Mytilus edulis: one gene and its partners. The protein of the gene in region 4 purifies or fractionates together with the protein of the main gene of each other region. This does not show direct contact. Links are inferred from orthologs where the notes say so. Each region holds a gene or a part of one and is shown on either strand. Other genes may lie near its edges. The genes, in order: F-box only protein 7-like, proteasome activator complex subunit 3-like, proteasome activator complex subunit 4-like and proteasome subunit beta type-3.

Region 1 (6,980 bases), on a different chromosome or scaffold from region 4:
TTTAAACATATTTATTTATAGTGGATTTAGAAACAAGTTTTTCAATTTATATTAATCCCTTTCCACTTTGCAGGTGCAAACAATCTCATTGCTGATGATCTCTGTTTCTGCAACACATTATTACCCAATGATTAGTAGTCTCAGTGACTGCATTTGTAAATTGGTCTAAATAGCGATAATTATGTCATATTGAAACCTATCTATACATATATATATATATATAAAACGTCTGAATAATAGTCAATGATTTTTCCCACGGCGCTGGACCGTTACAATATGTATATATCTTTTATCTTTTTATCAATATCAAACTTTAGATTATCATATATACCATGTATACAGAACCTGTAAATTAAATGTTAACAACACTACCACACAATATTGTGATGGAATTGCTTTGCTTGCATAGCTAGTGGATCCTTGGCCAGTTCTAAACCTCTTTAGCATGGTTGGTTAGAGCACTGACTTGAAACACTATTCAGACAATATAATGGAGCGAGGGGGACATGTGGACTAATCACCATGTGTCAAAGTTTAAGTACTGTCATGACTGTATCAATATCAAGAAATCTAGAGATCTTGGGTTTGAGTTCCGAAGGAGACAATGTGATTTTTTAATAAGAATCATTCTCTCAGTCTCAGACTTGACTCAGGTTACAGGACAAAAATTACTTTTAACAATATACATAGTCTTAGTGCACCAGTTTAATATATATATAAGTTATAACACAAATAATCATGACAGTATAGCAGTCGTTAAATGTAATACAACACTGATATTAAACTTAATGACTGGAAACACACTAGAGTCGCACCAGCATATAAAAAGGGGGATAAGCATAAACCAGTCAATTATAGACCTATCTCATTAACTTGTATTTGCTGCAAGTTAATGGAACACATAGTAACATCACATATTATGAAACATCTCGAAGCAAATAACATCTTGTACGACCTCCAACATGTCCAACATGGTTTTCGGCGCTCTCGATCTTGCGAGACCCAACTTCTCTCCTTCATACAAGAACTTCAATCCAAAAAAAATTCAAATTCAAATACACAAACAAACCTTGTAATAATGGACTTTGCGAAGGCCTTTGATAAAGTTCTGCATCGTCACTTACAAATTACACTATTTTGGCATTAATGGAAACACTTTAAACTGGATCTCTGCATTTCTCTCCGATCGAACTCAAACAGTTGTTCTGGATGGAAGATCATCAAGCACAGTACCAGTCACCTCTGGGGTTCCGCAAGGTACTGACTTAGGTCCAGTCTTATTCTTGGCTTATATTAACGACCTCCCAGACTACCTTACACATACAGTAGCACACTAAGATTATTTGCTGATGACAGTATCATATATATGCCAGTTAAATCCCAGATTGACTGCCTTAAACTGCAAGCTGACCCTGATGCAGCTGCAAAATGGGAAGGAGACTGGCTGATGGCCTTCCACCCAGACAAGTGTAATGTTCTCTCTGTCACAACTAAACGTCAACCTCTACAACAGAATTACACTCTTCACAACCATACTTTAGAAACTGTTACATCTGCTAAATACTTAAGCATCACATTACAATCAAACCTTAAATGGGACAAACACATAGATGACAATATCTCGAAAGCCAACAAAACACTCAGCTTCCTTCGAACAAACCTGAAAACATCTAATCAAAACATCAAGAGCCAGGCATACCAAGCACTTGTCTGTCCCAAACTCGAAATACTCTTGCTCGGTTTGGGACCCCCACACTTCAGAATCTATCTCAAAGATAGAGATGGTCCAAAAGAGAGCTTCTCGGTATGCCTGCAACAGGTACTATAATCAGTCAGGGGTGGTACTTAAACAAGTATGTATATATGGAGCGGGCATAATGGAATATATTTTGATTCATTTGCTTAATACTATGCTATAAGTGTACTCTTGTTATGTCAATTCGATGCTTTATTTGTAGAACTCTCAGTCACGCTTTGCCATCTTTATTATTTAAGCATGTTTCCAGATCCCACGACGAGGACGTGGTTCTACCTTGGGGTCCAAATAATTAATTTTTTTTAAATTATTTTTAGTCATTATATAGTAAAATGTACGTTTAATGAGGCAATAAACAAATAAAAAGATGAAAACATTCACATTTCAATTTTCTTTTCCTCTTGTTTGATTTCAGTTCTTTGTATTTCACAATTTGTGTCAATATTTTCAGGACAATGATGCACAAATAATTCATTTTGCGAGCTTAATATATATTGCACGAAAAGAGTTTTAAAAAACAAATTATAAGATAAATAATATGTTCTAAAACACAAGGAAAAGTAATCTCATAATACAATAATTAAACGTAATACTGGCTGTTAAACATAATAGTAGCTGCGGAACTGTAGCTCTTAGGTCCTTATGTTATTTTTTGACTATTTGCGGACCGCAAATATTTTTGACTATTTGCGGACCGCAAATAGTCAAAAAATAACATAAGGACCTAAGAGCTACGGTTCCGCAGCTAACATAATAGTAGTCCAAATAATTATGACGTCTTGAAAGGCTATTATAATTTTTTTCTTTGACGCCTTATAATAGCCTTTCAAGACGTCATAATTATTTGGACTAACATAATAGACACATGATAGATGATAAAATATTATGTAAATAATGTTTCATTTTTTTCTATCAATTTTAACTTTCTTGTCGCTAAAATTATTTTCTTTTCTTGGCCACGTATGCACCAGTTATTAATCATCTTTATTCAGATGGAAATCTGGAAAACTTAAAGAAGAAGAGTAGGCAGGTAGGAAAACCCTTTAACTTTAAGTAAGAAATCTGTGTTCAAAACGGAACAATTTAAGGAATGACATAAATAATTAACCTTGGAAAAGTGTTGTCAAACAATCCAAAAATAAACTGACGTAGATCATTTAGTTTACACTCATTGTCTATGTCTATAGACTTCGTGATTTTGCGGTTTCGAATTCTAATTTTCATCATTGTTGTTGGTTGTGAATTCGAACCTTTCGTTGTTTCAAACTGGAGAGCTAAGTTTAGCATGGGATTACTTCCCTTGTGTTACAAACGGTTGCAATTTTTAATTGAATTATCCCCCTTTGGTCGCAAACTTACATTTTGATCATCATAGAAGATAGAATAGAATAGAATAGAATACTGTTATTTCCCAAATTACAGGGCCCATAAAAGGCATAAAATCAGATACAATTGATTTACATAATTGGTAACAACAACAATAATAGAGGCATATACATATATATTTGGAATATAAGCATTGGTCAGAATCAAGCTAAAACCCACATATATATTGTGAATAAAAGAATAATAAAATTACATTATACATGTATATGTATTCATTCTCAAATTATTTACTTGACTTAGTGTCTGTGTTCATACCTGATCTCCTTAATTCTTATTTTAGTGATAAATAAACAAAAAAAAATAGAAAAAAAGTCGCTGGATATATAACGTAAGGGTACCCAAATTGCACCTATTTAGAAAAAAATAGCAACGGAAATCTTACTACATAAGACTCATCAGTGTCGCTCATACCAAATATTTATAAAGCCAAACAAGTACAAAGTTGAAGAGCATTGAGGATCCAAAATTCCAAAAAGTTGTAGAAAATTGACAATGTTTATTTGCACATACACACTTATATAATCTTATATCAAAATGTCAGTAAGATTTCTCTGTATGGCATGATCAAATGATATATGTATACAATAAATCTGCCAACTAAAAAAATATATTGAAATTATACTACAAATATTACGGTTCTTTCAAAATGTAGGCATAGTTTCTTAAAAGGGGGATTAGTATATTATGCAGTGATGTTATAATGGTTGTCCAACCTCAATCGTAACAGCAAAAACAAAATTAAAGTACATGGAGGAAAAAACATGGAGGAAGATACACATAGGGCGTAATATGTACCAATGAGAAGAGTTGTGCCATAAGGCCACAAGATTTAAGGAGTATTTGTTAGTGCAAAACCAGTTTTAGTTTGTTAAACTTTCCATTTGTTAATGAGAACCAGTTTGAAACTAGTTTCGAACCTAAACTGGTTTGCCGTTTGTTATTCTCAAACCCAAACTGGTTCCAGAAACTATTCAAACCATGTCCAAGGGTGGTTTGTGGTTTCGGTTTATGGTTTAAAATGGCGGCAATCGGTTGAAGTGTGGTGGTTGAAGGTGGTGGTTGTGTAATTTATTGAGAGCCAGTTTTACAGATTTTACAGATTTTTACAGACTTGATAGTGTTTTAATGTGAACTTTTATTTCCTGTATTGCCAATGAGAACCCTGAATGATGTTTTAGCAAAGTGAAAATACATTTACTGCCATTTCTCGAAAGAAAATGAGATACACGAGACAAAGAAATAGCCGACTCATAGTCGCCATCTTGGTTTTATGAAGAAATTTTAAAGAAGTTTTTAATTAACAGTCCTTTTACCTTTTAAACATAGAACACTTTTAATATATAGTGTACAGTTTTAAGAAAGACAATTGTTTTATTTAAACATTTTTTCCAAATCACTGTTTTTGAGTAGATACAACCAACAGTAAATTCAAAATGTCGAGAAGGTCAAGTAGAGAATTAGTTCCAACTAAAATATATACACCCAGCAAGAGTATTCAAACTACCAAGAATTATGTATTAAATGAGAAAAGAACTTTGAATAAAATTAAGGAAGCTGCAAATAGAGACATTGATATTCAAGCAACTTTGAAAAGGGGGAATTTAATCATACAGTTTTCATCGGCTGCATTTTTGCAATTCAATACATGCTTCGACCAGTATTTTAGTTCAAACCAAAGTTTAAAACTAACAGTACATGAAAGGTTCGATTTATCAAAGAAATTATCAGAGAGGTCAATTTCATTTGCCGACGTTAGTAATCCGTCAAAGCAGTTGTATAGGGTGAACATTTTTAATACAACATGTCGTATTGAAGTGAATGGGAAACAATTTATGTCATTCATAGATGAACTTTCTAAAATTGCATCGCATATGAGTAATGATCTAGACTATAAACATCTCAACACCAAAATTAAAGAGCAATGTGATTTTTTATTATCATCAATTAATAACGGTCATAATCCGTCAGTTGTAGTGGATAATACAAAGATTAGTCAATCTAAAGCTGTTACAAATGCTGCCGCTGGTAGTAATGACATTAAGGACCCTAAAGTATGCCCTAAATGTACTAGAAATTGCTTATCTAGAAGTGTCTGGTGTAATAGGGGTGAACATTGGATACACTATAATTGCGAAAAACTAAAAAGTGAAATGATTAACATTTTAGAGAATAATTCTGATACAAACCATTATATATGTTCAATTTGTGATATAGACTCCATAGATGATAAGCAAGTATTATCTGTGAATTCTCCCACTCATACTCAAGTATGTGATAGTATCAACTTACCTTTGGTCAACATGATTAATGAAGAATCTTTTTTAGAAGGAAATGAAATAGAATCCGATACTTCAGTAAAACATATAGATAAAGATCAAGTAATACCCAAAGTAACTTTTGCTCAATCTCTTTTATTGGAGGAATTTCCAAGGTCTTGTGCCTTATGTTTAGAGTTGTTAAATACTGATGAACAAATTTGTGAATTCTGTGATCAATCTTATCACATAAAATGTATGGGAAAAGAAAATAAAATATGTCTAGGATGTGAAGCGACACATAGTCAAAATTCTGAAAATTTGCATTTGAATATTGAAACTTCAGTAAAGAAGGTTAATTCACCTCGTCCAACTTTAGTCTGTGTAGACAAAAACATTACTGATAAATCTAAAGAAAATCAAGATAAGGATAATGAAAATAGTGTGTTGAAACAGAAAGAATTGCGTCAATTAGAACTTAAATTAAAGAAAAAAGAAGAAAGTCTGAAATTAAAAGAGTTGTCAGTGAATGAAAAACTTAAAGAGAAAACCAAGCTTCTTGATTATCTTCACCAACTTGAAGCCCGAAATTTAGAGTTAGAACAAACCATAAAAACAATGAATAGGAAAATTATTATATTGGAAGAAAATCAAAATAACTCTTCCCTGCGTAATGAAAAATCAGAATCTGGAAATTTAAATAGTCATAGGGATAATAGTGAAGATTTACTGGTACAAGTAAGGAATAAAGTCACAAAATTTATTGTGGACAAGATTGAAAATGAATTGGATAAATTATCTGACAATATTACTGAAAGCAATGATAAATTAAAGGATACACAAAATCATGTTTATCAACAAAATGTGAAAGATAACTCAGAAAATCAATATTCTCAACATAATTGGGATTACCAAAATTATTATCATCAATATCCATATTATTATGATCATCACAACTCATATTATATAAATAATTATGGAACTGTAAATGAGAGTCATAGTGATTCAGAAAGTAGATGTGATTATGAAAATCAATGGTTTCAAGATACGTCTCCGGACAATACTCAAACTGTTACTCATTCGAATCTTATTGATGTATTAGCGTCAGACAACCAAGTAAGGACAAATTGTGATTCACAAAGTAATCAACCTAGGAACTATTTGGGACAAAATTTATATTTCCAAAGTAATAACATTGCCAAAACTTTACATGGAAATAATTTTTTATGGAAAACAAGCCTCAGTGTCCAACCGACATAATGGAACAATTAAATCATGAAAGTAGAGAGGATGATAAAAAGAAAGAACTTAATATTTTAACTTTTAATTGTAAAAATATACAAACATGCGGTATGTTTTTTGATGAACTTTTTAAATCAACAGATATATTTTTAATTCAAGAACATTGGCTGTTTAATTTTCAACTGAATTTACTTAATGAACTTCATCAAAATATTTGTGGAATTGGAAAAGCGGTCGATGATAAAGATCCAATAAATCCAACCAATTTACCTCGTGGTTATGGGGGAACAGGAATTTTATGGAGAAAAGACCTTGACAATTTTATTAATCCGTTAGATATT
Region 2 (6,835 bases), about 36 Mb from region 4:
TATATTATATTAAGTAAAGATAAAGTACTAGTAGCAAAAGTAGCAAAAAAATATCAATTTAAATACTTTTTTTTTTATCATGTTTATGAAATTCATTGTTTCATGGCACTGAATGAATTAGTCCCTGTTATTTCTTATCTTTACATCAAAATGATACGTATTTTTAACAAAGTTATCTAACAAATAGTCTATTAATGCGTAGTTTTCTCTATTGGTATATTTTTTCTGTCTACCGTCCGTCTGTTGTCATTATCGTGAAAATGCGGATTTTTGACATATCTGGTCCGGTTCCGATCCGTAATTTACACAAAAATGTGCAATGGCGGCCGTAGAAAAATTTACGAAAATGAGTCCGAGAATAAACATTGTTTGACAAGAGATTGTGAATGAATAAGACGCTTTTAATGCATTAAATGAATTAAACATAAACTTAAGCCAATTATGACCACTTTTTAAAGAAGTATAAAACTTATTTTAGCTCAAAACCAAAATTCTCGCTCTCGTATTACCGGAAGAGAAAGAAAGTATTTTTTGGAGAGTTGCACAAATAAACGACCTTTTAAAAAATAAAAAATCGTTTTAATCTTTGAAATTTCGTAATACAAAACATAGATTTCGAATTGTTTTTGTGACTGCATTTTTCCATGTCGAAATTGGTGATTGACACGTGGTATTAATTTAGTCATGTCACAAGTGTCAGCTTGGGATATTCGCATCCAAACAGTTATCACCCTGAGGGCAATTAACACCTGGCTATTCAATCTCTTAATTGCCTTTAGTGTCCGACTTAAAGGGATTACAATTAAAGGTGATATAATTTTTATGATCATAATCGATAATAGATGAAAGTTCAAAATTGAGGACAAGTAAAATAGCATCTTTAAAATAATTATAGCGTCGCGGGAATTATTATACCATCACGGTGAAAAAATATAGCGTCGCGGTACCGCGACGCTAAAACGGCCTGGGGAGAACACTGGACTAATTAATAAAGGTGTTGATTGAATTATATGATAAAATGGTATGGTGAAATGGCGCCTGTCACATGTTACATAAAGGATTATTTGCCACTTTGCGATGCACGTGTTTGAAGCAAAATTTTGATGATACTACCCTTCTTTTAATGATAGTCCAGAAAAGAAAAAAAAATGTTATGACGAAAAATGTACAAAAGCAATAAAGGTCTCTGATTTAAACTTAATCATTTAACTTTGATATCGATAATTGATTTGAGTGGGTACTTTAAAGTCGTATCAGTGACACATGTTTCAAGCATAGTTTTACATTTTTATGATGGTCTAGAAAAGAAAACAGTCGTTATGAAGAAATCTATTCAAAAGTTTGAGAACAACCCCTCGAATGAGAGTAACCCTTCAATTTAATGACTACACCTTACATGAAGAATCAATTTCAAGTGACAAAATTGTAAAAAACACTTCTTGGTACAAAAGAGAAAATGTTTTCAATTTTGAAGAAACTTTCCCAAAAAACTGTACATCTTTCAGGTATCCAAGAACTTTTTATATTGCAGGTCATATATCTTCTTTATTTTTTAAAGTAAGTGGGCCCCCTTCTTTTAAAGTTGTTCAAAATATAATCATTTTCCTTATAAAGTTCTTTTTTTTAAAAGGTAAATGTTTAGTATTTATTCATTACAATGTAGACTCTAAAACAAGTTTGAGAGAATAATCATAGACAGCAATGGGTCAAACTCTTATTTAGGGGGGCTGGAAAAAAAATATATTTGTCTTACTTGGCGAAAAAAGATAATAAAGTGGCAAAAAATATATTGTTTTGGCAAAAGAGGTGGCGAAAAAAATAATTGACCCAGGGGAAACCCTACATAAATTCACACAAGCTAGAGTTGATATTGACCTGCTTTCATGTCATGTACGCAATTTGGTTATCCAGAAAAGGGACAGACAGGTCCAGTCTAAGTTACAATGTTGGCTGGTAGTTTTGTGTGTCCTATAAGGCTACATATAAAAAGGTATGTTTACAGTCGGTATTTGGTCCAACAGTCATGCAAAATATGTCTAAATGTAAAGATTTTAGTCAAAACCATAAAATAATAATGAATTTTATGACTCTTGCCATATTAAAAGAACAAAATGTTATTTACAATATTTAACCTTTTTTTATGAATTATCTAATAACTTCTTCTGTAGGCAACTAAAATTTATAATTTCTGAGTGATTTTAAATTTCATGATTGTCATTCTTAAAAGAGGGGCGAAAGATACATTTGTACCAGAGAGTCAAACTCGTAGATAGAAAATAAACTGACAACGCCATGGCTAAAAAAACAGACAAATAATAGTACACAAAACACAACATAGAAAACTAAAGACTAAGCAACACGAACTTAACAAAAACTGGGGGTGATCTCAGGTGCTTTGGAAGGGTAAGCAGATCCTATATAAACTCATACCAAGTTAGGGGCAAGTACCTCTTTAGACTTTGCTATAATATACATTTTCAAGTTTTTTGCTATAAACCTATGGTGTACTTATTCAACAACATGGTCTGATAATTCTAAAATTGGCCCATTGATTTTTTTTTTTTGGGGGGGGGCTAGCCAGGGCATATGCATAGACATAGAGAAGAATCCTTCCAGATCACTGAATTTGATGTTCTGAAAAATAAAAACATAGTCAAATTGAGTGGGATCTTGGGAATTTTCAGTGTTGTAGCAGTGGTAAGGGTCACTTAGTAGCAAAACTCATCTTTCTCTAAAAATGATGAAAATTTATAAGCTTCAGCTGTTCAGTTTGTAGACAGAAATTTTAATAATTTGATCAAACTGTCGACTAATTTGACAAAATGTTATAAAATATTGAAAGTTCACAAATTAATACAACCTTTTTGTCCAATTCTTCCCTTTGTTTTGCAGATTTTTTACCATCAGTTGGCATTTTGTTCTGAGAAATATGTTTTCTGAGCGCCCAATGCGGTCTCAGATGAGTTAAGGACTTTTTCGGCCTTCTCTTGAAAGAGTTAATTAAGGGGAGGTAATTATTATATCACCCGATCAGGTGCCCGTCTGCATGTACAAAGGTAGATCCTGCATTCAACTGGCGCTGCTACCTAGTAAAAATCTCGACAACATGTAATATAGTGATTTAAATTCAGCTATTCAGGTATTGTTATGTTTTAATGGTATCAAAAGACAAATTACAAATTATCATGTATTTTTATTTTTATTTTGAGTGTCGTATCATGACTGTCAGTCATAACAAGGATTTGTATAGTAAAAATTTTTGGTCATAAGGACATTAGTACTTAACACTTCACGCTAGTTCATCAGGTTTAAACGGAGTGTATTTGTCATTGATGTATTAATAGTTTTAGATAGGCCCCTACATGTGAATTTTTAATTTCATTATTTTGACTTTCATATGATTTTGTTTTATGCAATGTTCACCTATTACCGGACATCACTACACACTACATTCTGACAGGTTGACATTAATAATAATAATCAGTTTTGTATACAGAAAATAATTTCTGAATTAATTGAAATTGTAATTAATTATCGACTTTATTTCTAAAGTAATTATTTACATTGCAAAAATAATTCGTATTCAAAACTGTAATTAATTGAGTTGCAAAAGTAATTGTAATTAATTAAAATTGTAATTGTAACTAATTGACTTTCAAAAGCCATTGTAATTGTAAATGATTAAGTTGCAAAAGTATTCGTTTAATTTCATAATTAAATACATTTCTAAAGTACTTGTATTTTATCACAGTTCGAAATTAATTGTAGTAAATTACATTTCTAAGTTTTAATTAATTACTCTTTAAAAAGGTAATTAAATTTTATTTTTATTGAAGCCTTTTTTTGCAATTGTTATCCATTTTTAATTTAATACTTTTTATTGTTATAATGACCACATGTATGAAAGATAAACTTGTTTATGTGTTAGCTTTTCAGCTCCAGTGAGAACACATTGCTTGGATGTTTATGAAAACCTCTAAAATAAGAGGTTGCAGGCATACTTTAAATGCACTGTTTGTCAAATATAAAGTTTGAGGAACAATACTGGGTGCAGAAGGCAGAGCAGAATGGGGCATCATCCATATATCTAGTTTTAAAGTTATCTTGGATGCAGATGTAATAGTCAAGGGTTTAAAATTAGCAGGGCCCACTCGCCAATGGCCCCTAAAATTCAGTGTGGGCTACTTCAATTTCAACTTTTTTTTGTATAGAACTATATATATTGGCTACAAAACTTAAGCTGTTTGCTACTATGCCTAAATTTTAACTTTAATCACTGAACACAGTAGGGAATGACATTTTTTTCTTCTAATTTAGATCTGATGTAATAGATGATGGCAGATTCATCAGAAGTGATTGAGAAGACTGATCCTGGGAATGGAGATGTAATGGAGAAGAATGATTCTGCTAATGGAGATGTTCAACAGGAAGGAGAAGAGGAGAAACAACACTTTAGTTCTGTGGCATCAACATACTTTGACCAGAAAATCCAAATACCTGATGTTCCTCAGGTAAGAGAAAATTCTAATAACTGATGTTCCCCAGGTAAGTGTACAGTAAATCCCAATACCTGATGTTCCTCAGGTAAGAGAAAATTCTAATAACTGATGTTCCCCAGGTAAGTGTACAGCAAATCCAAATACCTGATGTTCTCCTCAGGTAAGAGAAAAATCCAATACCTTATGTTCCTCAGGTAAGAGTGCAGAAAATTCCAATACCTGATGTTCCTCAGGTAATAGAAAATCCCAATACCTGATGTTCCTCAGGTAAGAGAAAATTATAATGCCTGATGTTCCTCAGTTCCTCAGGTAAGAGAACATTCCAATACCTGATGTTCCTCAGGTAAGAGAAAATCCCAATACCAGATGTTCCTTGGGTGAGAGATAATCCAAATACCTGATGTTCCTCAGGTAAAGGGGAAATCCCAATACCTGATGTTCCTCAGGTAACAGATATTCCAAATACCTGATGTTCTTCAGGTAAAGGGAAAATCCCAATACCTGATGTTCTTCAGGCAAGTGTGCAGAAAACACTTATCTGAATAAATGTTCCACCACAAAATTTGTCCAGACTTATTGAATATTTTCCAATAGAAGTTCTATGTATAAAGTAAACTGATTTGAAGAGTTTTACCATTGATTTCAAAAGTCTATATGCTCAAATTTTTAAGATTGATTTCTTTATTTTGTTTTCAAACTACAGCAATTGTGTTATTTGTTCTTTGAAAACATTTGATTGATTTTAATTTCTTTGTGTCTGATGCATATTCAGGATTCTATTCTTTATTTACCTTAAACAATACAGTTTATCGGTATAATATGCATAAATATACAGTTTACAAGTTGTATAGCATTAACATACACATAAATAACAAACGTCAGAAATATCAGTTACATATTATACAGTTTGTGAGTTTCAGACTACATATAATAAACATAGGTCTTAAATATTATTCCTGCACTTAAATGCATAGAGTAAGTACTTTCCTAAATTACAGAGTTCCTTAGTGTTTTCAACAGAAAACAATTGTATTAATTTATAAGTTGATGGTCTAGTCCAATAATATTTCTTGATAAACTTTTTACGTATATCATTATAATTTGTACATTGTAAAATAAAATGAAATTCATCCTCTACTACATTTTTATCACACATAATACACATTCTACTATTTCTACTTATTCCATAAAAACGACCAGTTTCAATGCATAGATTATGTGAGGATAGGCGAATTCTCGTTATCCATTTACGAGCTATTACAGGAATACATTTTTGTAAATAAAATTATAATTCTACATTTGACACAATATACTTATATAATCTACACTTTGGTGATGTTTCAAGCGTGAAATGCAACTCTTGTTTAGCTTGATCATATATTCGTTGTTTGTTAATTGTAAAAATGAACTATCCAAGCAAAGTACCCATTGGTTGTCCCAATAATAATTCATACCAAGATCATATAAAATTGTTTAAATACAAGTTGCCCAGTTTTTACATTTATTGCTATTTGCTACTAGTTCTTTGTAACAAGACTTTATAATACAATTTTCACTACCGTGAATTTTAGTCCATAATTTGAGCATCCTAAAATTTCGCTCATATAACAATGGAAATCTTCCTAATTCATAATATACCATTACATTAGAAGTGGACCTCTTGACACCTAGTAATGTTTTACAATAGTCCAAATGAACTTTTTCTACATTTGGTGCTCTATGAACACCCCAAACTTCACAACCATACATTAAAATACTACATACATATATAAGTGTCAAATGAACTTATAGAAGTAACAGTGTTCAGGTATAAGGATAATGCCTTTTTCCTCATACTAAACTCAGCTTTCCTGCCTTGTTCAGCACAGTGGTTTTGAGTAATATAAAATTTACAATTATAATGAAATAACACACCCAGATAACAAAAATGATCTACAATATCTAATGGTTTACCATTATAAATCCATATCTCAGTAAGACTAATTTTCCCACCTTTACGAAAAACTACTATCTTTGTTTTTTTGGTGTTAACTGAAAGACCCCATTTCTCAGTATAACCAGATAAAGTATTTAACATATTTTGTAAGCCTTGGATTGATTCTGACATCAAAATCATATCATCAGCATACATTAATAAAAAAAGTGTTATGTCCTGAAATTCAAGTATAATGATAACATATTTTAAAAAATATATGTAATAAAATAATTGAAATCAATGTTAATTAAGTAGGATATAAGACATGTACACACTTATATCAAATTAAGGATGTTTTTTATCCTGCTTTTACTTTATTTATCTTGTTGGATCATCCTCATCTAGGTCCTAATGACATTTT
Region 3 (7,615 bases), on a different chromosome or scaffold from region 4:
GGATAAAACAACCGTACGATTGACAAGATATCGACACGCAATTACGACTACATCGGTTACTGTAGTTTTGTTCCTTTGTGGTTTATAGACATATCGTTGTTATTAATCGGGAAAGAAGACAAAATGGCCGAACGCAGAGAATTGATACTCTAAATTTAAAATCGATGGTGATCTCTTATCTAGCGGAATAAAACTTTAATATCTATGAATTTGAGCATTTTTATACAGCATGAACATAATATCAATTTTTGATTTTTTTGCGAAGTTTCCCTTTAACACATTCTAAAACATGTCTACATACTTCTTCCTTAAGAATATATATGTTTAGGTATTTTGAGTTATGGGAAAAGGTAAAGAGGGTCTTAGTAGCAGTGTTGGTAGGGTGCCTTGGTCATCTTTTTCTGTTTTCTTTATTTTTAATACAAATTTTCACTGTTGCTATATCCTAACATTGTGCATTTACTGAGCACAGCTGTTTTGTGCTGTATTACCATTAAGCACAGTAGAGGTAGAAAGGTGAAACTGGTAAAGTGTGTCAGACCATAGAAACAGAATGAAGCAGGACACCTTTCAATACATGCTGCATATAACATGTATAAAGCTTAACTGTGCTAAACAATGATTTAAAAACTTGAGTGACACTGTGCTGCTTGACAAGTTTTTCAGCAAGTAGAAAGATAGAGTTCTAAATGGGCTAATTATGTAGTTCTTGTATAACCAGTGATTTCAACAAATAAACACAATGTTTGATTGATATCTTTATTAAAACATGCCCTTTTCATATTATCATACCCCGCGTTAAATGCCCTTTTCAGGATTGGCACCCTGCCCTTTGAAATCCTAGCTGGAACACTACTGTATCGTCAGATCATATATTTTAGTATGACATATGAATTCATACTATGCATGTTTTTTCAATGGAAATTGCGACTACAAAATGCATTCTAAATAGCATGGAAACTCATAATATAAGGATATTATATACAAATGTGCACAACATAATACTGATTTGAAAAATAATGAAGGCACTGGCTACGGTTACATGGAAATGTAACAATAATAAAAATATTATTGTTCCATTGGAAACTAATTGCCGGAATGCAAAGTTGGGTAAGGAACCGATTAATTACGAATGTAACAATAATTATGGAGGCTACGGTTACATTGCGTTATTGTTACATGAAAAACAGCAATGTACGCTAGATTTATTAAACTTAAATCTTCTATATAGTTTTGTTGCTTAATTCATTCATGTCTACTAAATAATACTTGTTATAATAATAAATAATAAATATACTACTTCAAATTAGTAGTGCCAAAGGCGAAAAATATGAGTTCAATGGTTTGTTGTTGATAACTCGGGCTGAGAAAACTGTTCACTTTTAAGTATTTACATGTAACTGCACATCTACTCGTATTACTGTCATTATACTTTGAACAAAAGATGAAGAGATTCCCAATTTGGTTTGGGTGAAGAATTTAAAACTTGCATGGGATGCGTTTGAAACGAAACTGAAACAATATCAAGACACAAATTTCATACAGCTATACAAACGCACTTACCAAAAACTGATACATCAAAAGCAAAGTTTGCTAACTGTGAACTAACACTGTGAACTTCTGTATACATGTATAAAATTGAGAATGGAAATGGGGAATGTGTCAAAGCGACAACAACCCGAACATAGAGAAGACAACAGCCGAAGGTCACCAATGGGTCTTCAATGTAGCAAGAAACTCCTGCACCCGTCGGAGGCGGCCTTCAGCTGGCCCCTAAACAAATATGTATACTAGTTCAGTGAAAATGGACGTCATACAAGACTAACAAAGGCCATGCAAAGGCTCCTGACTTGAGAAAGGCGCAAAATTGCGGCGGGGTTAAACATGTTTATGAGATCTCAACCCTCCCCTATACCTCTAGCCAATGTAGAAAAAAAACCCGCACAACACTACGCATAGTAAAACTCAGTTTTCAGAATCCATGGAGGACGTACTATAAAAAAAAATTGTATGTTATACTTGTATGTATTGTAAATATAAGATAATGTCTTCAACTTTTATTATTTAGTACATATTACTAGTCCCATCGAACATTTCTGTTTTTCATGTAACAATAACGCAATGTAACCGTAGCCTCAATAATTATTGTTACATTCGTAATTAATCGGTTCCTTATCCAACCATGCATTCCGGCATTTAGTCCCCAATGTAATAATAATATTTTTATTATTGTTACATTTCCATGTAACCGTAGCCAGTGCCAATAATGAAAGTGCCATAAATGAAGTTTCATCAGATCAAATACATGGTCATTTAATGGATTGCAAAAACTTGAAAAAGTTTTGTATTATATGTAATATACTAAAAGGAACGAAACTGTATATATAGATTCGGTTGTCTCTATTTTGCCAACTCCAAATAAAGCTTATTTATTTTAATTATGGCAAGATGGTGTAGGATTTGACAATGACAGCTCTGAATTCGAATGAGATCTTTTTTTGCATTTAATCGTTAGGTAATGCTAATTGTGATTTCTTTGTTGAAAAAAAAAATAGATCATAATCAAGTCATATATTACCTAGTTAATTGTCCACTCCAATGGTTAGCACCAGTTTTAATATCTCTCAAGGCAACAGATTTTCCAAGGTTGGCCTTGATTTCCGCAAACACAGCATTTGATTCAACATCAAGATTGTCTGCATATGGTAAATACTTGTTATAAATTTTCTCCTTTTGTGGGAGAAACCCCAAAATCTTTTCTCTTTCGTCCATACTTGGAGAAAAGCTGAAAATTTGATACTATTCAGGATGACTTGCTACAGTTGGATCCATTTTGGGTTATTTAAGAAAGACGAAATACAATTGGATAATCCCTAATGATTGATCCAATCAAAAATTGTTTAAGAAAGAGATCACCTGTGAACAGGAACGACAATCCCCTTCACTTTCATTTTCACTTTGCCAAACACAAACTATAGAGCTCAAAATAACCAAGTCATCCTTCTCTGAAATATCACATGACAGCAATGTCAGATTCTGGAAGATTCTCATCGGTCGATTACGAAATACACGGAAGTGTCCAAGGTATGAATTGCCTATAGATAATTATGATAAATGATTTTTATGGGATACATTATTTTGGGGCCAAGTTTTCTAGTCTTTCTGGTACTAGTACATGTAGATCTAAATCAGGGTTCAAAAGTCAGATTAGGGAACTACCATTTGATTTTTATGGGGGGGGGGGAGGGGGGGCTAGGATGAAAAATTTTGTCCTGCATTGTTTTAGCTGTAATCTCTGTCCTGCCTTTTTATTTTTCACTCTAATCGGTCCTGACTTCTTTTTTTTTTTTTAGTTTATCCTGTCTTTTTTTTACCTAAATTGTCGTTCTGATTCTTTTTTGCAAGTGTCACATCCTGCCTTTTTTTTTTACTCGAAACTCCTGTCCAGCCTATTTTTTTCAAATTTCATCCTAGCCCCCCCATAAAAATCAAATGGTAGCTCCCTTAGTTTGATTTCAAAAAATAAATATAAGAATAAGATATATTTTATTTCCAGTTAAAAGACCACAAGGGGCATATAGAGAATAAGAATAAAGTGCCTTATCACATTACAATACATACAGTGGGTCTCATTGGGTCTAAGCTTGACGCGGGATTGCCGATTTTTTGTAAGTGTGACACATGAAAGTCAAATTATTGTGTCGGGAAAACGAGAAATGAGGTCTAGCGGGACCCGGGAAATGACAAAAAAATGAGAATTGCTTACGTACATAGTGTAAGCGGGATACAGGAATCTGACAAAACAGTAAGCGGGATCCGGGATCGGAAACCCCCAATGAGACCTCCCATACAAGTACTTAAGATTAGACATTAATTTAGAGACATATTAGAAAACAACACTGTTTAACACTATTAAAATAGTTTAAAGGCCAGGACAGAACCAGATAATACAATCAACATCTTTAAAATATTAACCATTCAAAATCATTTGCTACTCAAAATATGAATACATGTATAAGGATAAAGAACATTGATTAGCATAGATAATATAGAATTTAAATACACATTGATTTACAATACAATAAGACTGTAAATAAGACCATGGTTTATAGTTCATGTAATATGATCATGTATATAATATATTTTAATTTATGTGAGAAATTAATACATCTAAATCCAGTTCTGTCAAGTTATGAAGCAAATGGGTAAGATTTGGCCAAAATTGTAAAGAGCAAAGAGATCAACCAAAGTAGTTGTGCACAGGTCATATGCACACATGTAGTGCAGTCTTCACACTTAACCACAACAAGTGCTATAGCCATGGCTTGCAGAATTGCTTGGGGACTTGTAAAATTCTTCTCTACAAGCCAAAAGCACAGGTGCTTGAGGACAGGATCCTGTATGAGCCCCAAATAGTCCCTCCCCCTTTTTTAAATTTTTTTTTTTTAATCATAAATCTCAGATTTTTCTATACATATCCCTTATTTGTACTTATTTGTACCATATATATAGAGATTAATACATGGCCTTTTCCATATCAGCCTGGGTATCATCCAGAGACCCCCATATCAGCCCGAGACGGAGTCGAGGCGCTGATATGGGTCGAGGGATGATACCCAGGCTGATATGGAAAAGGCCATGTATTAATCGCTTTATCATATACTTCCGACAATAGTTTTATGTAAGGCAAAAAAAAAACACAAATGCAACAACTAAAACAGTCAAAAACTTTATAAAGAAGTTAAGTTATAAATCCAATATACTACAACTGTCAATGCAACCAACAGCATCACTACCTCCATATACATATATGTACATTTTATGGTAACATTTCCTATAGAGGCATTTTGAAACATTGAGTAGTTGGAAGAGTTTCATGATCATTATTACTCCATGTTTGTTGTACTATAAAATGATTCATAATTGCCAATGGTATTTGTTAGTAAGTACTAAACTATCCCCACAAAACTGTTCCCGTAAATTTTGACGTCGTCATCAATATCTGACGTCACAATGGAAAAAATAAACAACCGATACCGGAAACACCGGAAGTAACTTGCACGAGAAGCACTGTTATGGGTTTTTGCACGAGACGCCCCTGATATGGGTTATCAGACCGGGCTGATATGGGTTATCAGCCTGGGTGGGAAATTATGGCTTGTGTACTTCCGTTCGTTACACATATGCAAAAGCTATCATATTAATGCTAAGTATATGATAAATACTAATATACCATATTTATACTCTAAATATGCATGTTTACTATCAACGTGAATCTCGACTATAGAGCGAGATTCACGTTGATAGTAAACATGCATATTAAGAGTATAAATATGGTATATTAGTATATATGGTACAAATAAGTACAAATAAGTGATATAGATAGAAAAATCTGAGATTTATGATTAAAAAAAAAGGGGGGAGGGACTATATGTGGCTCATACAGGATCCTGTCCTCAAGCACCTGTGGCCAAAAGAAGCCAACTAAAATTTTCGTAATATTGGCTTTGGGCTTATGGATTCAAAAGTTTATCTTGAAGACTGTTAAGTGTTACTCACACATTTTCCTGTGATCTATTGATTCCCAGTAGTTAAGAATTTAATTACCAATTTGCAAGTTCTAATTAATATTTGGCAATTTACATTTTTTTTTATTATGAAGAAAAATTGACAGGTATATTGTTGCATTTTGTTTGAATGAATTTTTGTAATTGTTTAAGGAAATTTGAGCTATATAGTTTACATTTTTGTCATTTTGTCTCTAATGGATGGTTGTTACATTTGCAAGCACACACCTTTAAATTTTTCCTGTATATCTTTGATTTGAATGTAATTACAAATGTTTCTTTTATAATTTCAGGTGTATTTTTTCGACAGGTAAGTTAAGATGTTGTATGTTAAGCAGAAAATATTAAGTAGAAGCATAGTAATGTTTTATTGTTTATCAGGTTAAGATCTATCTGCCCTGAAATTTTCAAATGAATCAGACAACCCGTTGTTAGTTTGCTGCCACTGAATTGGTAATTGTAAGAATTTTGATGCTTTTGGTGATGATCTGAATATTATTATAGATAGAGATAAACTGTAACAGCAAAAATGTTCAGCAAAGTAAGATTTACAAATAAGTCAACATGACCAAAATGGTCAGTTGACCCCTTTAGGAGTTATTGCCCTTTATAGTCCATTTTTAACCATTTTTCGTAAATCTTAGTAATCTTTTAGAAAAATCTTCTCCTCTGAAACTACTGGGCCAAATTAAACCAAACTTGGCCACAATCATTATTGTGGTATCTAGTTTAAAAAATATGTCCAGTGACTTGGCCAATCAACCAAGATGGCCACCATGGCTAAAAATATAACATAGGGGTAAAATGCAGTTTTTGGCTTATAACTCAAAAACCAAAGCATTTAGAGCAAATCTGTCAGGAGGTGAAATTGTTTATCAGGTCAAAATTTATCTGCCCTGGAATTTTCAGATGAATTGGATTATCGGTTGATAGGTTGCTGCTCCTGAATTGGTAATTTTTAGGAAATTTTGCTGTTCTTTGTTATTATCTTGAATATTATTATAGATTGAGATAAACTGTAAACAGCAATAATGTACAGCAAAGTAAGACCTAAAAATAAGTCAATATAACCTTTATAGTCAATTGTTAACAATTTTTATAAAATTTGTAAATTTTCACTAACATTTTCCACTGAAACTACTGGGCCAAGTTCATTATTGATAGAGATAATTGTAAACAGCAAGAAATGTTGAGTAAAGTAAGATCTGCAAACACATCACCATCACCAAAACACAATTGAGGTATGAATTTTTTGCTAACACCATTTTCCATTTTTTTTGTTGGATCAGTAAATTTTCTTTGTTAACAGATCCACCACAACTTGTGATAACACAATGATTTTAACACAAATTTCTATCATGTTTATTATTTTTAAATTATTATTTGATGCGTTTTAATATAAATAACATATATTTTATTAGTGATTTTATTTCCGCTCTCTAGTGTGGAGAATTGTCTCATTGGGAAAAATACCAAATTTTCTTTTTTATATTTAGGATGAAACTGGACCCTGTAGTTTTGTATTGGTAATATTTGAATTTCTACTCCTGCTCATATCATGCTTATTCACACGTATGATATTTGAAGTAATAAAATAAAATAGTTGAAGTACTCAGTATTTATATGAAAGATCCACAAGATTTGCCTTAATATAGATTTTAAATATGAAACTATGACACTTTGAATTCAGCTCCTCAACATTGCTCAATGTATATAATGATTTTACCGATTATAATATTTAATTTTAACTGTTAGTTTGTTCAATTCTGATACAAAACATAGTTATATTTTTTTAACTTATGTTTTGTTTTGTAGAATGTGTATAATTATAATATCAAAATTATTAATTAATTTAATAATTATTTTCAAATAATCTATAAATCAAAGTTGTTGGTTAAATTTGATACAATATTCCATTTTTAGCTCACCTGGCCAAAGGGCTATTGTTATCAGTCTAGTTAATTCACTGGGACCTTTAAATGTCTTGTAAGACACAATGATTAGTATTCCTGAGTAAAAGAATGCATTTACTCTCATAACTGTATGTG
Region 4 (7,083 bases):
TTAATTGAGTGGGGAATCCAGAGCAACCATTCAATCTAAAACCCCTTAAAGTCAAGAAAAAAACTATACGCATGCGCATAATTTCCAAATCAAACCCTGGGGCAAGATATATTAAATGCTTATTAAACGACCTAGATGGTTCTCAATTTCTTTATGGAAGTACAATCTCAAATATCAGTTTCATAACGGTAACATATAAGAAAAACTCCACTTCAGTTCTTATATGACAGAAATAGATTTATCGGTATTCAGAGAACTCTCGCATTTTATCAAAACTGGGAATTCCCTCTGACGTGTTTCTAAATTTATAACTACACTAAATATAAATACTGCTTAATTCTGATTTTCCGTGTTGTTAAAAACATGCATCGAAGTCAAGGGAATTATCAAACATGAAGATTATGAAAAGAACATTATAGGAAAGTTGATTCAGTTCAATCCTTTTGTTTGTTTTAACCTTTTAAAGCAAGACAATCATAAGAATCTGAGATGTTCCTTAATGTTTAGAATAAAACGGTTGACGTGAGGGAAATTGCTCTGAGCCACCGTTATAAGTCTACAGATTGCTTGAAAGCAATCGTATCCCAAAAATGGGGGTCAATGGGCAATTTTTTTTAAGGCATTCAAATAGATAAAACCAGAGGATTCCGAAAAGCCAGAATATGGTTGTTCTATAAATAGTTAGTCATTGTCTGTGCCAGGCTTTAAGGCATACCCTAATCTCACTCTGAACGTTCATTGTGACCCATCTATAATTTTTTTTTTTCAAATTAGGTCTGGCAAACAGATGATAGGACTCACAAAATATTGTCTATAAATATGCAAACTTGGATGGAGAGTTGTCTCATTGGCACTCATACCACATCTTCTTATATCTAGAACCCAATGTCTTTTCCCTTAAAAAATTATCTACATCTCTTTAATGATGTTTTAAACAAAAAAAAATTTCTTTACAGTTACATGTTACGATGTATAGCACTAAAAACAGGCTGCAAAAGTAGCTCTCATAGACTTTGTTCTATCCTGTGATCACCTACACATATATTGTTTATACAATCTCTTCTTTAATATAAAAGAATACTCGTCTCATCTCATTTTTATAAACATGCTAAACAAACACAGTGTTGTTCATCCACTCTCCTAACTTAATGTACATTGTGTTCATACTACAACTTCCCTAACTTACACTGTTTGTACATCTGTGGCCAGACCAGGTAAGCCTATGTACAGTCTGTCACCCATTTCAAATATCTTCTGGAAATTAGTTGACACTGTCTGTGCTTGTACACCAAATCTTCTGTCAGCAGCAATAGCTACACAATCTCTACCTTTCATGGCTACAATAGCCGCACCATTATATTCCATAATACTCTAAAAAGAAAAAGTAAAAGAAATACATGTATAAGCAAACTACATTCATGCAAAACTTGTTGTGTTTACACAACAAATTTTTTTTAAATTTCTGAAACAAAAAATGGCATACAGGTATCACTTTTATATATCTATATCGTGTTCTTATTCTTCAAAAAATAAATACTTGCGAGAAATATACAATATATTATTGGTATGCACTTTATTTAATATTAATATATATTTTAATAATTCTTTGTTCTTTTTTTATATGATGAACCCCTGTTGCACAAGGTTATGCAGAAAGTTCTTTCAACTTTTTGCCAAAACAAATGATTGCATTTTTATTCATTTTGATAAATTTTGCGTAACTAAATAATTTTTTGCTCAAATCAGTCTGCATGTTTAGCCACTAGTCAGATGCCCCAGACTAGTAAAATTTCATTAGGAGTAGTAAGTTTTCGCAAAACTTTGTTTGGCCCAATAAGAAAAATGTCAGAATATTGGTCTTCGGACTAGTAAATAATGTAGTAGCTATATATTTAGTTGAAAAAGTTTTTGGTGAAGACTGTAAAATAATCAATTAATATTAAAGTTGCATACAGGGCAAGGCATTTAATAAAAGAAACTAATTTCTCTGCTAATTAGGAGTTTGGAACTCTGTGCTTCACCTACAACCGTACATGTATATACATGGTCATATATACATTGAACATGTATATACATTGTATAACCCAATCTGAACATATTTTAAATTTGTGCTACTTGTCTCTAGATGACCCTCTACACTTAACTAAGGTACCTAGACACTAAGACAGCTTGGCAAAAGAAGCCCTACTAAACTAAAGAAGCCCTAATAACATGACTGGTGCCACACGTGGGGCAGGATCTGCTTATATATATATTAATTACCCTTCTGGAACACCTGAGATCACCCCCAGTTTTTGATGGGGTTCTTGTTGCTTAGTCTTTAGTTTTCTGTGTTATGTCTTCTGTGCTATTATTTTTCTGTTTGTCTTTTTATTTTAAGTCATGGCGTTGTCAGTTTATTTTCAATCTATGAGTGACTATCCCTCTGGTATCTTTCATCCCTCTTTTAAATATTATCAAATAATCTTACTGTTGAGAAATAACCTTTTGGTTACTATATATACACACACAAACCTGTGTACCTTAACAAAAAGTTGTAATGCATGACAGGAACTAGATAATTAAATTTTAAATGCATTTTAAGTCGCTGAAAATATTCAACTTTTTGGTTTTAGCTATTTATTTTTGTTTTCATTCCTGCAGACATGGCAGATGGTGCCAAAATGAACTTCAGTTTGGAAAGAGGTTCGAGAAGCTCCACTCATATAATAAATGTTGTGATTAGTATTGATTTATTTGGAAGTGTCTGCAAGTGTAACACCCCTCCCCCTTTTTTTTTTATTGTACGTGGTTTTTTTTTTCCTTGCTGCAAAACTTTTCATTTTCTGAATGTTAGTTCACGGATTGAATAAACTAAAACGAAAGATGCAATGAAAATCATATTCGATGTTTGTGGAATTCAAAACAATCGTTTTACCATTGTGAAAATGTTGCCCGGTGAAAACTGCAAATTCACAAATCTCTAAAAATTTTACTCTGAAGAATTATGGTAGGGGAGGTAATAGAAAAAATGTTGGATCTATGTCGACTCGTACCTTTTCAATCTCGTACCCATTTTTAATAACTCTTACTGTCATATGAAGTGTTTCTCTTAAGTTTATTACTTTTAAAGTTTGCACATTTAAAAACGATATTAAGAATATTTAAATTTCAATTATTTGGTGAAAATTTGGAAAACATTTAACATTATCTTAAAATTTGGATTTTGATATTTAAAATTTTATCAAAATTTTAAAAATCTATTAAAAATTTTAAACCCTTTTTTAAATTGAATTGAAAAATGTTAGATTCTACACAGACCAACAAGGATCTTACAAGATTTTCCAAAATAACTTCTAAAATAGATGTTATAATATTATGAAAAGAAAGTAGGGTTGAGCAAAATTTTTAATGGCACTACGTTGCTAAAACTAGAGGATTATGAATATCTCACAATGAGTCAAAAATAATATCATTATCCTTTACAGATGGAAACGTATGGAAATATGAAAAAAAGAAAATCTTTTTACAATCCCATTCATTATTAACGTTCTCCATCATTCGGCCTGTCTACTTTACAGGTTTTCACGATCGGCGGACGGTAAGCTTCCAAAGTTTCGATCATCAATCACTGAATGAAATGTCGGTATTCGATTTTACGTTATGAATTTGTTATAAATGTTTTTAAAAAAACGTTGGACACCCCCTTTTTTTGTTTGTTTGACAATTAAATTAATGGTTAATTATTCATCCTTTTTGTAGTGGGACAAAGCGTTGGAACCCTGTGCCCTTTTTATATGACTTTGCATGCGTTGGAACTCCTTTTAAAATTGACTGGATCCAATCAACGCCCGACGAATCATTGGAAAAAAGGAATGTATATATTGGGTATCATATATAACAACAGTGCACATACTTCAAAAATATCTCGCCTGTTTTACTTATCATAAGGTTCATGTAATATAAAGATTTTACTATAAGTATCACATAAACTTGACATTAGTTTAAACAATATTTATTCAGATAAATCAACATTAAACATATTATACAATGAAATAATATTAAGGATTCAGAAACAAGCAATTTGCTTTTACAAATCTGTCTCCCAAACTTGACATTAATATCTTTGTTCTATAAAAATGAGGTCTCGGTCAGATGAAACATGTCAGACAGTAGATAGATATAGGAAGATGTGGTGTGAGTGCCAATGAGACATCTCTCCATCCAAATAACAATTTATAAAAGTAAACCATTATAGGTCAATGTTCGGCCTTCAACACGGAGCCTTGGCTCTTACCGAACAACAAGCTATAAAGGGCACCAAAATAACTAGTGTAAAACCATTCAAACGGGAAAACCAACGGTCTAATCTATATAAAAAAACACGTATAAATTACATTAACAAACTACAACTACTGTACATCAGATTAGCATACTTGTATCATCATACAAACATTCCGTACACAAAATGTAGTGGCCCTATTTGCCGGCTAAAAAAGAGGGGCGAAAGATACCAAAGGAACATTCAAACTCATAAAAAAAATTAAAACGCTTTGCTTAAAAAGACATACAGACAAACAATAATATACACAAAACACAACATAGAAAAATAAAGACTAAGCAGCACGAATCCCATCAAGAAGTGAGGGTGATCTCAGGTTGTCTGGAAGGGTAAGCAGATCCTGCTCCATATTTGGCACCCGTAGTGTAGCTCATGTTAGTACAAACCTGGTAATAAGTCTAATTTGGTAGGTCACATTCGTGAAAAGGGAACGGGCTTGTAGTTGTGCAACATAAGGAACATATCTGCTATTATTTGTGAAACGGATATTCCATAAAGTTCAACTAACAGTTGAGTAACTCGTGATAGAATCTGTAAAATATTAACGAAGGGGTGATACATTTGAAACAGCAGATCACACCACAAAATCTAAACATTGACCAATGAACCATGAATATGAGGTCAAGGTCATATGTCAATGAACCGTACCAGACAGACATGTACACCTTACACTTATTCAATACACCAAATATAGTTGACCTATATCTTTTACTATCTGATACTGACAAATTATAAACTTTTGATTATATTATTCACCATTTAGCCTGGAAATGAGGCAAAGTTCATACGAAACCAGTATGACAGACATAAACACCTTTCACTCGTTCCATACATCATATAAAATTGAACTACTGCTTGTTATATTTGAGAGATAACCCAAACTACAAAAGTCAAACATTGTCCGATAAACTTTGGAAATTAGTTCAGTGAGATTATATACCTGCTAGAACAGAGACTTTCTGTACTAAGTACTTAGCCTAGTATAGAAAATCCCTGGCTAGACGAAAATGTTTAAAACTTTACAATCATTCCGTACATATATATATATTTTATATGGTATATTAAATATATTGGCCCTATTTATTATAGTACTCTATAATAGGTTGGTAGTCCTTGGCTGCTTGTTGGATTTGGAATTGAAATTGCGTCCATGGATTTTTTTGTTCGTAATTAAGCTAACTTCTGTTATGTACAAAATAAGGTCATTTGAAAACCCATACAAAATGGACATAATCATCCCTGAACTACGACCGACCAACAGCCAACACAAAATTCGGCCCCATCAATAAATCCTAACACATTTTTTAGTGCACAAAATCAAATTCCACTCTGTTATATTAGAAAAACTACTGCGTGACTGTGTAATTAATACTACATAGATATAGGAAGATGTGGTGTGAGTGCCAATGAGACAACTCTCCATACAAATAACAATTTAAAAAGTAAACCATTATAGGTTAAAGTACGGCCTTCAACACGGAGCCTTAGCTCACACCGAACAACAAGCTATAAAGGGCCCCAAAATTACTAGTGTAAAACCATTCAAACGGGAAAACCAACGGTCTAATCTATATAAACAAAACGAGAAACGAGAAACACTTATATATTACATAAACAAACGACAACTACTGTACATCAGATTCCTGACTTAGGACAGGTGCAAACATTTGCAGCGGGATTAAACGTTTTAATGGATCCAAACCTTCTCCCTTTTTCTGAAACAATAGCATAACATCACAACAAAGAAAAACATACGATAAAATATCAATTGGCAGACTTAACTCAATCAAAAAACGTATGATTAAACAATGAACGAATAAATTTGATCTGCGATATCTGAATACAAATGCACAGTTAATTAAATATTAGAGACAAACATTCATGACCAAAAAGCTAACAAACAAATTCAAAAACAGGACATGACTGAGAAATATTTAACCAATCAATGTTCACTTTAGAAAAAAACCGGTTTTTTTTATAATCTTGAAGTTTATACAAATGTTGTAAGAATAAGTGAAGATATTACAAATAATCAAAGCTGGTGTACAGACAAGATCCGTATAAATAAAAAATGACAAAAAAGCATTATAAACAGTATCAACAGGTCGAATTAACAAGAAAATACGATTTGAGAGTACATTTACATGTACATGCAGTTTTTTTTTTTAAATTATGAAAAAATGTATAAATTCTTAATGTTTTAATTCAAAATTGTACATACTCTTACAGGTGAATGAATGCCCATGTAGATTTGTGGTATATGTCAACGTTCGAAACTTTATAAGGCACCAACCCAACGATACATATACTACCAGAAGAAAACTGCATTCACACTTCATTCCACAAATAACGTAAAGTTCTAGACTACATGTCACTATGGCTTTGTTGACTAGACCCAAACCACAGGCACTTGTCTCAGAAAAAAAATTTCCTATATAGTATATACCTTAATATGTGTTATATTAGGGTACATATGAAAAAAATCCTGAGACAAGTGCCTGTGACCCAGGCTGGGATATAATGTGTGAATAAACGCACCAAATGCTCTTCAGATGAAATTTGTTGGCACTGCTCTTATACCAAGCGTAGTTCTAAACGGAACCAAAAAAATGTAATTGTCCAAGTTATAATTAGGAGCATTAATCTATAGTAGGGTAAGTGACTAACTGCCTAAATTCGATCCATGTCTGCGAGTTTTGGTTGATTCGTTCTGAGCATAGTGTAAGAGGTTCATAAAATGTTGATGGGAAAAATTTAAGTAA

The links.
Region 1: the proteins of proteasome subunit beta type-3 (region 4) and F-box only protein 7-like purify together in Homo sapiens (affinity purification with mass spectrometry; 4 studies listed by BioGRID and IntAct, counting the BioPlex papers as one, with this or other methods). This does not show direct contact. The link is inferred for Mytilus edulis from reciprocal best matches to the Homo sapiens genes PSMB3 and FBXO7.
Region 2: the proteins of proteasome subunit beta type-3 (region 4) and proteasome activator complex subunit 3-like purify together in Homo sapiens (affinity purification with mass spectrometry; 4 studies listed by BioGRID and IntAct, with this or other methods). This does not show direct contact. The link is inferred for Mytilus edulis from reciprocal best matches to the Homo sapiens genes PSMB3 and PSME3.
Region 3: the proteins of proteasome subunit beta type-3 (region 4) and proteasome activator complex subunit 4-like purify together in Homo sapiens (affinity purification with mass spectrometry; 3 studies listed by BioGRID and IntAct, counting the BioPlex papers as one, with this or other methods). This does not show direct contact. The link is inferred for Mytilus edulis from reciprocal best matches to the Homo sapiens genes PSMB3 and PSME4.

What each region holds. Positions count from the first base shown.
Region 1 is NC_092344.1:4,233,472-4,240,451, forward strand, and holds the start of F-box only protein 7-like, read right to left. Parts: upstream 3,028-6,980; 5' UTR 2,984-3,027; coding exon 2,865-2,983; intron 1-2,864. Other genes in the region: putative leucine-rich repeat-containing protein DDB_G0290503, read left to right, coding at 4,576-6,657. UniProt on the Homo sapiens protein: Substrate recognition component of a SCF (SKP1-CUL1-F-box protein) E3 ubiquitin-protein ligase complex which mediates the ubiquitination and subsequent proteasomal degradation of target proteins and plays a role in several biological processes such as cell cycle, cell proliferation, or maintenance of chromosome stability.
Region 2 is NC_092345.1:106,000,977-106,007,811, reverse strand, and holds the start of proteasome activator complex subunit 3-like, read right to left. Parts: upstream 3,009-6,835; 5' UTR 2,915-3,008; coding exon 2,861-2,914; intron 1-2,860. Other genes in the region: natural resistance-associated macrophage protein 2-like, read left to right, coding at 4,332-4,511. UniProt on the Homo sapiens protein: Subunit of the 11S REG-gamma (also called PA28-gamma) proteasome regulator, a doughnut-shaped homoheptamer which associates with the proteasome. 11S REG-gamma activates the trypsin-like catalytic subunit of the proteasome but inhibits the chymotrypsin-like and postglutamyl-preferring (PGPH) subunits.
Region 3 is NC_092346.1:24,122,475-24,130,089, reverse strand, and holds the start of proteasome activator complex subunit 4-like, read right to left. Parts: upstream 3,003-7,615; 5' UTR 2,773-3,002; coding exon 2,579-2,772; intron 1-2,578. Other genes in the region: acylphosphatase-2-like, read left to right, coding at 3,018-3,084, 5,861-5,877. UniProt on the Homo sapiens protein: Associated component of the proteasome that specifically recognizes acetylated histones and promotes ATP- and ubiquitin-independent degradation of core histones during spermatogenesis and DNA damage response.
Region 4 is NC_092345.1:69,632,448-69,639,530, reverse strand, and holds the start of proteasome subunit beta type-3, read right to left. Parts: upstream 3,012-7,083; 5' UTR 2,921-3,011; coding exon 2,918-2,920; intron 1,372-2,917; coding exon 1,187-1,371; intron 1-1,186. UniProt on the Homo sapiens protein: Non-catalytic component of the 20S core proteasome complex involved in the proteolytic degradation of most intracellular proteins. This complex plays numerous essential roles within the cell by associating with different regulatory particles.